2 linked regions of the Arabidopsis thaliana genome follow. The protein of the gene in region 1 interacts with the protein of each later gene in a biochemical or structural test. Each region holds a gene or a part of one and is shown on either strand. Other genes may lie near its edges.

What was found.
Region 2: of the proteins of CRK3 (region 1) and TUB7, one has a biochemical effect on the other in vitro, tested with the Arabidopsis thaliana proteins (one study listed by BioGRID).

Annotation. Positions count from the first base shown.
Region 1 is NC_003071.7:19,184,713-19,188,639, reverse strand, and holds the start of CRK3 (CDPK-related kinase 3), read left to right. Parts: upstream 1-1,827; 5' UTR 1,828-2,209; coding exon 2,210-2,752; exon of another isoform or gene 2,753-3,029; intron 3,030-3,542; coding exon 3,543-3,673; intron 3,674-3,860; coding exon 3,861-3,902; intron 3,903-3,927. UniProt on the Arabidopsis thaliana protein: May play a role in signal transduction pathways that involve calcium as a second messenger. Serine/threonine kinase that phosphorylates histone H3 an GLN1-1.
Region 2 is NC_003071.7:12,644,040-12,647,966, forward strand, and holds the start of TUB7 (tubulin beta-7 chain), read right to left. Parts: upstream 2,019-3,927; 5' UTR 1,894-2,018; coding exon 1,500-1,893; intron 1,315-1,499; coding exon 1,045-1,314; intron 905-1,044; coding exon 219-904; 3' UTR 1-218. Other genes in the region: ENOC (cytosolic enolase), read left to right, coding at 2,596-2,700, 2,787-2,941, 3,027-3,201, 3,284-3,355, 3,437-3,553, 3,676-3,756, 3,857-3,927. UniProt on the Arabidopsis thaliana protein: Tubulin is the major constituent of microtubules, a cylinder consisting of laterally associated linear protofilaments composed of alpha- and beta-tubulin heterodimers.

The sequences.
Region 1 (3,927 bases):
TGAAAATTAAGGATAAGATCTACATTGTGAACGACAAGCTGGGCTCGATTGTTTCGGGCTCATAAGGGGATATTATTATTATTTAATCAATTTCTGCAAAATATTTACCAACATAACTTAAAACAAATTCTAACAATTAGGATGACAACAAATCTACCATTTTTTTCGTGGTTTACCATTTGTTTAATTTACGAAGTAGTTGTGAAAATAAACTTGAAAGGAAATATTGTGTCGTATAAGTTATAACTCATTTTTGAATGGTGAATTTGATAAATATTTTTAGACACATGTTTATTATATTATCAAACTGCTGACAAGAAATATATTAATATGAATGAGCATTGACCATTGGACATAAATCCAAACGAAGAGTTCTTAAAACATACGCTATGATATCAGATGACGGTAATAACAAATTAATACATACGCTAAAATTTACAGAAAATACAAGATTTTTTCACTTTCTCTATTTTTTAACGAAATATTTGTCGACTTCTGAGGTAATCGATGTTAGCCTTGAGTTTTGTAATTTGTATAAAAAATGTACTCCAATCACAATAATTTTGGTGTATAATAAATCCAATTAAACTAAACAAATGCATGTTGTTGGACTTACTTTAAGTCGGTTCAATATTTTGTAAAATACCATAGAATATTGAAGGTGGATTCTATTCCCCATTTACATTTATTTATTTTCCTTCTATTTTCGACATACTTTAAAATTATATTATTACCCATTTGTTCGGCTTTATGGACAATTATTGGTGTAAATGACCATATATTTCCTAATGTCTGCTGATACAAACAAACGGTAACTTCTAAACTTTCAATTTGTTTAATTTATTACATCAAGGTTTATCTTTCAAAATAAATTTAAAGAAAAACTGCTTCTTACCTATTTGATAAGTTGATAGTAATGTTTGTGTTAAATCTCCTCATAGACGTCGCTTTACCTATTAATTACCACTATAATTTAATTTCATAATTGGATTTAGTGTCACCCTAATTTTAGTACGAGAGATCTCTAAAGAAAAAAGTGAAAACACAATCACAGAAAATTATTACAATTTTTAACAAGATTCTAGTATAAAACATATTGATTTCAACGTAAAGAAAATTTAATCACAAAGAAAAAAAACAATAACTTTGTAATATTGTATCTCCGTGTGATTGCTTTACACATGGATTTATTTAATTAATTAACAGATAAAACATATTAATTCCAACTTCTTCTTTCTTTCTTTTTTGGACAAAAATTTCAACTTTTTTTATAATATAACTTTTGTGTCGAAAATATATACTTTTCCTGAAAAAGAGTGATAACTAATTAAAAAAAAAATGTTTAGAAGTACAAAAGAAAAGTATTGTTTCCAAATTCGAGAAAAAGCTGTAATCACGCCCTTGTGTTTAATTCTCAATAAATCACATTTAAAAGCGATTTTTTTAACGGCCCAGATATTGTCACGTAGGATAACGTACTCCGTATATTCTCCATTTCCGAACCATCCGACCAGGTCGCATCATATGTTGTGAAAAAATCGTTATGGAAGAAACTCTGTTTTAGTTAGATCCAATAATATTAAGCCACGTGGAATTGATGAATCCAATCTTCTTTATAAACTCCGTTTTCGGAATTTTGATTTTGTTTAAAATGTCTTACAAATTTATATAAGGAAACGGCAAAAGAGCCCAAAAAGTAACAAAAGACAAAACAATTAAAGGAAAAAAGAAAGAGTCAAAAGAACTCGAACTATCATATAATAAGAAAAGAAAAAGACATAGGACAAAATAAAATATATTCATATTCACAAAACACAAAACAAAATTGTTAATCAAATAGTATAAGACTAAAAATGCCTGATTAGGGGAAGGTAGTTGTTGTTGAATAGTGACTAGAACGAGTTAAATGGTTTGAGATCTCCAAGTTTACATTTCAACATCTCAGATTTTAATCCAACGGTTCTCAATCCTTCTACTACGTAAAAACACCACCGTCCCCGTTCCGTTCCGTTCTGTTCTCTCTGTCACTTTTGTCTCTTCTAAGTTTTTAACACTTACCTTGTCGTCTCTGTTCTTCTTCTTCTCTCATTCCTTTCGTTTATCGTTTTCTTCTTCCAATTTTGGATCTCTCTTCCTTTTGATCTGATTCGTTACTTGCTCTATGTTGCTTCAATTTTGAATTCTTTTGATTTTTGATTGTGTGGGGGAGATGGGGCAATGTTACGGGAAGGTTAATCAGAGTAAGCAAAATGGTGAAGAAGAAGCTAACACGACTACTTATGTTGTTTCCGGCGACGGGAATCAGATTCAGCCTCTAACTCCGGTTAATTACGGTCGAGCTAAGAACACTCCAGCTAGGTCATCGAATCCGAGTCCTTGGCCTAGTCCTTTCCCTCACGGATCAGCGAGCCCTCTTCCTTCTGGTGTTTCTCCTTCTCCGGCCAGAACTTCCACTCCGAGGAGGTTTTTCCGACGGCCTTTCCCGCCGCCTTCTCCAGCCAAACACATTAAGGCTTCTTTGATCAAACGTCTTGGAGTGAAGCCTAAGGAAGGTCCGATCCCTGAGGAGAGAGGAACTGAGCCGGAGCAGTCGCTTGATAAGAGCTTTGGTTATGGCAAGAATTTTGGTGCTAAGTACGAATTGGGGAAAGAAGTGGGTCGAGGGCATTTTGGTCATACTTGTTCTGGCCGTGGTAAGAAGGGAGATATTAAGGATCATCCTATTGCTGTCAAGATCATCTCCAAGGCTAAGGTTTTAAATTCTCAATCTTTTGAACATCTAGTTTTTGATTTTGGGATTGCTTGCATTGGTGTTGAATTTTAGCTTATATTGTGATTTGTTTGTTGCTGATGCTGCTACAAGAATCTGTGGAGGGTTTTGAAATGTGGAACGAGTAATGCTTACATTTTCTCGTAGTTGAGGTAGTGAAAGTAAGATTCTTGGGTTTGGATAATGGCTGTGGGACAGTGAATTGTCTTTTTCTTCCAGCTGAGTCTCTTGAGACAAACAATGTTGTCTCTTTTGATAGGTAAATTTTTTGTTTGGCAGTGAGTTGAGTAGACAAAAATGTGAACTTTTTGTTGATTTGTCAGCATTAGGACAAGGATAGTCATCAAAGAATGAGTTTCATGTACTAATGTTTATGAGCTTTTCTTCTGCAAACATTTGTTTGTTCGAAGCTTGTAATCACAGTTAGGTTACGTTTTGATTACTTAGCTGTTGATTTTGTAAGAATGTTATGGTGTTACATGTGATATTTGTTGTCTGTTTCATCCTTTTTTGAAAAGATGATTCATGAAAAACGTAACTAGAGAAGTCTTTGTCTGGCTGCGTCCTGGGGAGACCATAATCTGACATTCCTTTTGTCTGCATTAGGACACAATGTTTTATGTATGGGCTTCACTTTTGAAAGCTCATGATTTTGGCTTATCTTTGTAATGAAGCTGGTCTGACACATTTTGGTGACAGTTGTGCTATCCTTCTCTCTAATAGAACAAGCAAAAAGGATTTGTTGACTGAATTATCTTTCTGTACTTGGCAGATGACAACAGCAATTGCAATTGAAGATGTTCGCAGGGAGGTGAAGTTACTGAAATCATTATCTGGACACAAATATTTAATCAAATATTATGATGCATGTGAGGACGCCAATAACGTATACATAGTCATGGAGTATGTCTTGTTTCCATTTTTTTTTATCAGATATTTGATGTTCTCTCTTCCTCAGGATTTTGGCTGTTACTTAAATGTTGTAACACAGAACATCACTTCTGAACTGCATTTCTTTGAACATATCTCTGTAATCAGACACACCTTGTAAACCAGTTACTTAAATCGATGTTTGGTTCTGCTTGACCAGGTTGTGTGATGGTGGAGAACTTTTGGACAGAATTTTAGCAAGGTATGTCTGATTACTCTTTTAGGTG
Region 2 (3,927 bases), 6.5 Mb from region 1:
GTTATATAATGAAACAAAGAAAAAAAATACTATGGATGGATTTTGATTTAGCAAAATAGATTGTTTGAATATTGATTGATAAATCCTCTTAGCCTACGCAGAGTATCATAACTACTAATAACGCAAGCGATAGTTACAGAAACTATAAGAACTTAATAGAAGAGAGTTTTAAAAGTAAACAGCAACTGGAAGTTGAGGTGTTCTTATCATCTGTTTCTTCAATAAGTTTCTTCTTGCTCGTACTCAGCTTCTTCCTCTTCATATTCTCCTTCTTCATCAGCCGTTGCATCTTGATACTGCTGATACTCAGAGACAAGATCGTTCATGTTGCTTTCAGCTTCAGTGAACTCCATCTCATCCATACCTTCACCTGTGTACCAATGCAAGAAAGCCTTTCTCCTGAACATAGCAGTGAATTGCTCACTGACACGCCTGAACATCTCTTGGATCGAAGTTGAGTTACCAATGAACGTTGAAGCCATCTTCAGACCAGTAGGGGGAATGTCACAGACGGTTGATTTGACGTTGTTAGGGATCCATTCCACAAAGTAGGAGGAGTTCTTGTTCTGTACGTTCAGCATCTGTTCATCGACCTCCTTGGTGCTCATCTTTCCACGGAACATGGCTGAAGCAGTGAGGTAGCGACCGTGTCTTGGGTCAGCAGCACACATCATGTTCTTAGCATCCCACATTTGCTGAGTGAGCTCTGGGACAGTGAGGTTACGGTACTGCTGAGATCCACGAGAGGTGAGAGGAGCAAATCCCACCATGAAGAAGTGGAGACGAGGGAATGGGATCAGATTCACAGCTAGCTTTCGCAGATCAGAGTTCAGTTGACCAGGGAACCTAAGACAGCAGGTTACACCAGACATGGTTGCAGAGATCAAGTGGTTCAGATCACCAACTGCACAATTCAGAAAACAAACAAAAAAATATGTGAGTGAAGTTTCAATACTAATCAATAACTAAGCCTGAAACAATAAACCACAGAGACAGATACAGTAACAACATTGACTCATAATCGAAGAACATTGGAATACTTACAACTTGGAGTGCTAAGCTTGAGTGTACGGAAGCAAATGTCATACAAAGCTTCGTTGTCAAGAACCATACACTCATCAGCGTTCTCAACAAGCTGGTGCACAGATAGTGTTGCGTTGTAAGGCTCCACAACAGTGTCAGACACCTTAGGCGATGGGAACACAGAGAAAGTCATCATCATACGGTCTGGGTACTCCTCCCTGATCTTAGATATCAACAAAGTTCCCATTCCAGAACCAGTTCCTCCTCCCAAGGAATGGCACACCTGAAATCCTGTAAATCCAAACAACCAAAACCATAAGCAAACAACGAATACAAAACCGAATCCGTATTCCACAGTTCAAAATCAGAAATCTAAACCTAAAAACAATCATACACTACCAATACCCAACCTAAATTTACAGATCCAAAAACCTAAATAGACAAAAACCTAAATAAGGAAGACGGATTTCAAATACCTTGAAGGCAGTCACAGTTCTCAGCCTCTTTGCGAACAACATCAAGGACCGAATCAATAAGCTCAGCACCTTCAGTGTAGTGACCTTTAGCCCAGTTATTCCCAGCACCGGACTGACCGAAGACGAAGTTATCCGGTCGAAAGATCTGACCGTACGGACCAGATCTGACACTGTCCATGGTTCCAGGCTCCAAATCCATGAGAACAGCGCGAGGAACGTACCTTCCACAACTCGCCTCGTTGTAGTATACATTAACCCTCTCAAGCTGTAACTCGGAATCTCCTACATACCGTCCCGTCTGATCAATCCCGTGCTCGAGATTAACCACTTCCCAAAACTTGGAACCGATTTGGTTTCCGCATTGACCTCCTTGAATATGAAGAATCTCACGCATCTTCGCTCACAGAGAAGAAAACCCTAAAACTGGATCTAAAAAGAGAGAGAGAGAGAGAGATTTTGAAAAAGGGAAAGGAGAAGCAGAGAGGATCTTTTGTTTTATGAGAGAGAGAAGAAGAGGAGGGTCCATTTATAAAGAAAAGGAGGTTTTAACGGCTAATATTTGGTAATTCGAAATCGAATCGACGGTTTAGATAATGCCACGTAAATCGAGGTGGCAACGGGTGGCAAAATTCAAAAATTAATGGCTCGTGATAAAAAGTTTTTTTGAATTTCGTAAAAAAATATGTTCGTGTGAATGACAGCTGGATTCCATTAAGGAGAGCAGTTACTAAAACATCGTCGCACTCGCACGTGCTTTATGAGAGATAAAAAAGCGGTTCCAACCTGGCAATCGCACGTGAGAGACTTCTTATTGGGCCTAAAATGGGCTTTTACTCTTTTCATTTCAAATCTGCATGACTTAAAACGGAGTGATGTGCACTAGCAAAATCCTCAGACGGCAAGCATGTGTTTGTAAAGTGAAACTCATCGTTTTAATGATTGAATATGCTTATTGGATCCTGAACCGGAGCCTGAACCGGAGCGTGAACCAAAAAATACAGTCAATCGGAAAATGAATTTCAGATTCAAACTTGTTCATCGAAATTTTGCTTGAAGATTCGAATCGAGAAGTCCGTGGAAGAGGAAGAAGAAGAAGATGTCTGTGCAAGAGTATTTAGACAAGCATATGCTTTCTCGGAAAATCGAAGACGCCGTTAATGCCGCCGTAAGGGCTAAAACCTCAGATCCCGTTCTCTTCATCGTAAGTTTCCTTCGAATTTTGATTTACATGTATCGAAGTGAAATTATGTTACATTACTCATTGAATCTTCAATTGGAAAAGTGCAGGCTAATCATCTGAAGAAAGCTGTATCATCTGTGATAACGAAGGTTAAAGCACGACAGATCCTTGACAGCAGAGGAATTCCAACAGTTGAAGTTGATCTGCACACGAACAAAGGCGTTTTTCGTGCTTCTGTTCCCAGTGGTGATTCTTCTGGAACGTGAGAATTATTCTTACTCTGATTGATATACAATTCTCTAATATGATAAGCCTGACATGAGGAGATTGGTTTACTGATTCTCAAGGTATGAAGCTATTGAGCTACGTGATGGAGACAAAGGAATGTATCTTGGAAACAGTGTGGCTAAAGCTGTTAAGAACATAAATGAAAAAATTTCTGAGGCGTTGATTGGTATGGACCCAAAACTTCAGGGTCAGATAGATCAGGCTATGATAGATTTGGATAAAACTGAAAAGAAGGTAGGTGGGAACTTTTATTAGGATTGTAACAAGTTCATATATCATTGCTCCTCATGATTAATTTGATTTGAATATCTTGCAGAGTGAACTTGGTGCTAATGCTATACTTGCTGTGTCAATTGCGGCATGCAAGGCTGGAGCTGCTGAGAAAGAGGTATGAATGATAACATTTTCTCTTATCCTATGTATTTTATGCCTACTTTAGTTAGGAGATTTTGATTGAAGTTATTATCAGGTCCCTTTGTGCAAGCATCTTTCTGATCTTAGTGGCAGAGCAAACATGGTGTTACCTGTACCTGCGTTCACTGTTTTGAGTGGTGGGAAGCATGCTTCGAATACTTTTGCCATTCAGGTATTCTACATTAAGTTCACTATTAACGTTTCTGTTTCTCAAAGTTCTTCAAGAAATCTTTTGGTTTTCAAGTAATTTCATTTACATATGTAATGATTGTTGTGTTTTCATAATTTGTTTAGGAAATTATGATTCTCCCAATTGGAGCAAGTAGATTTGAGGAGGCCCTGCAATGGGGATCTGAGACATATCATCATTTAAAGGTCAATTTTCAAAGATATATGGCTTTCTAGAAGTTACCTTTCTAATTGCATCCGTAAATTTGTGTATAAGGTGAGAATGATCTATTGCTGTTTATGGCAGGCTGTCATTTCAGAAAAGAATGGTGGTTTGGGATGTAATGTTGGTGAAGATGGTGGTCTTGCTCCAGATAT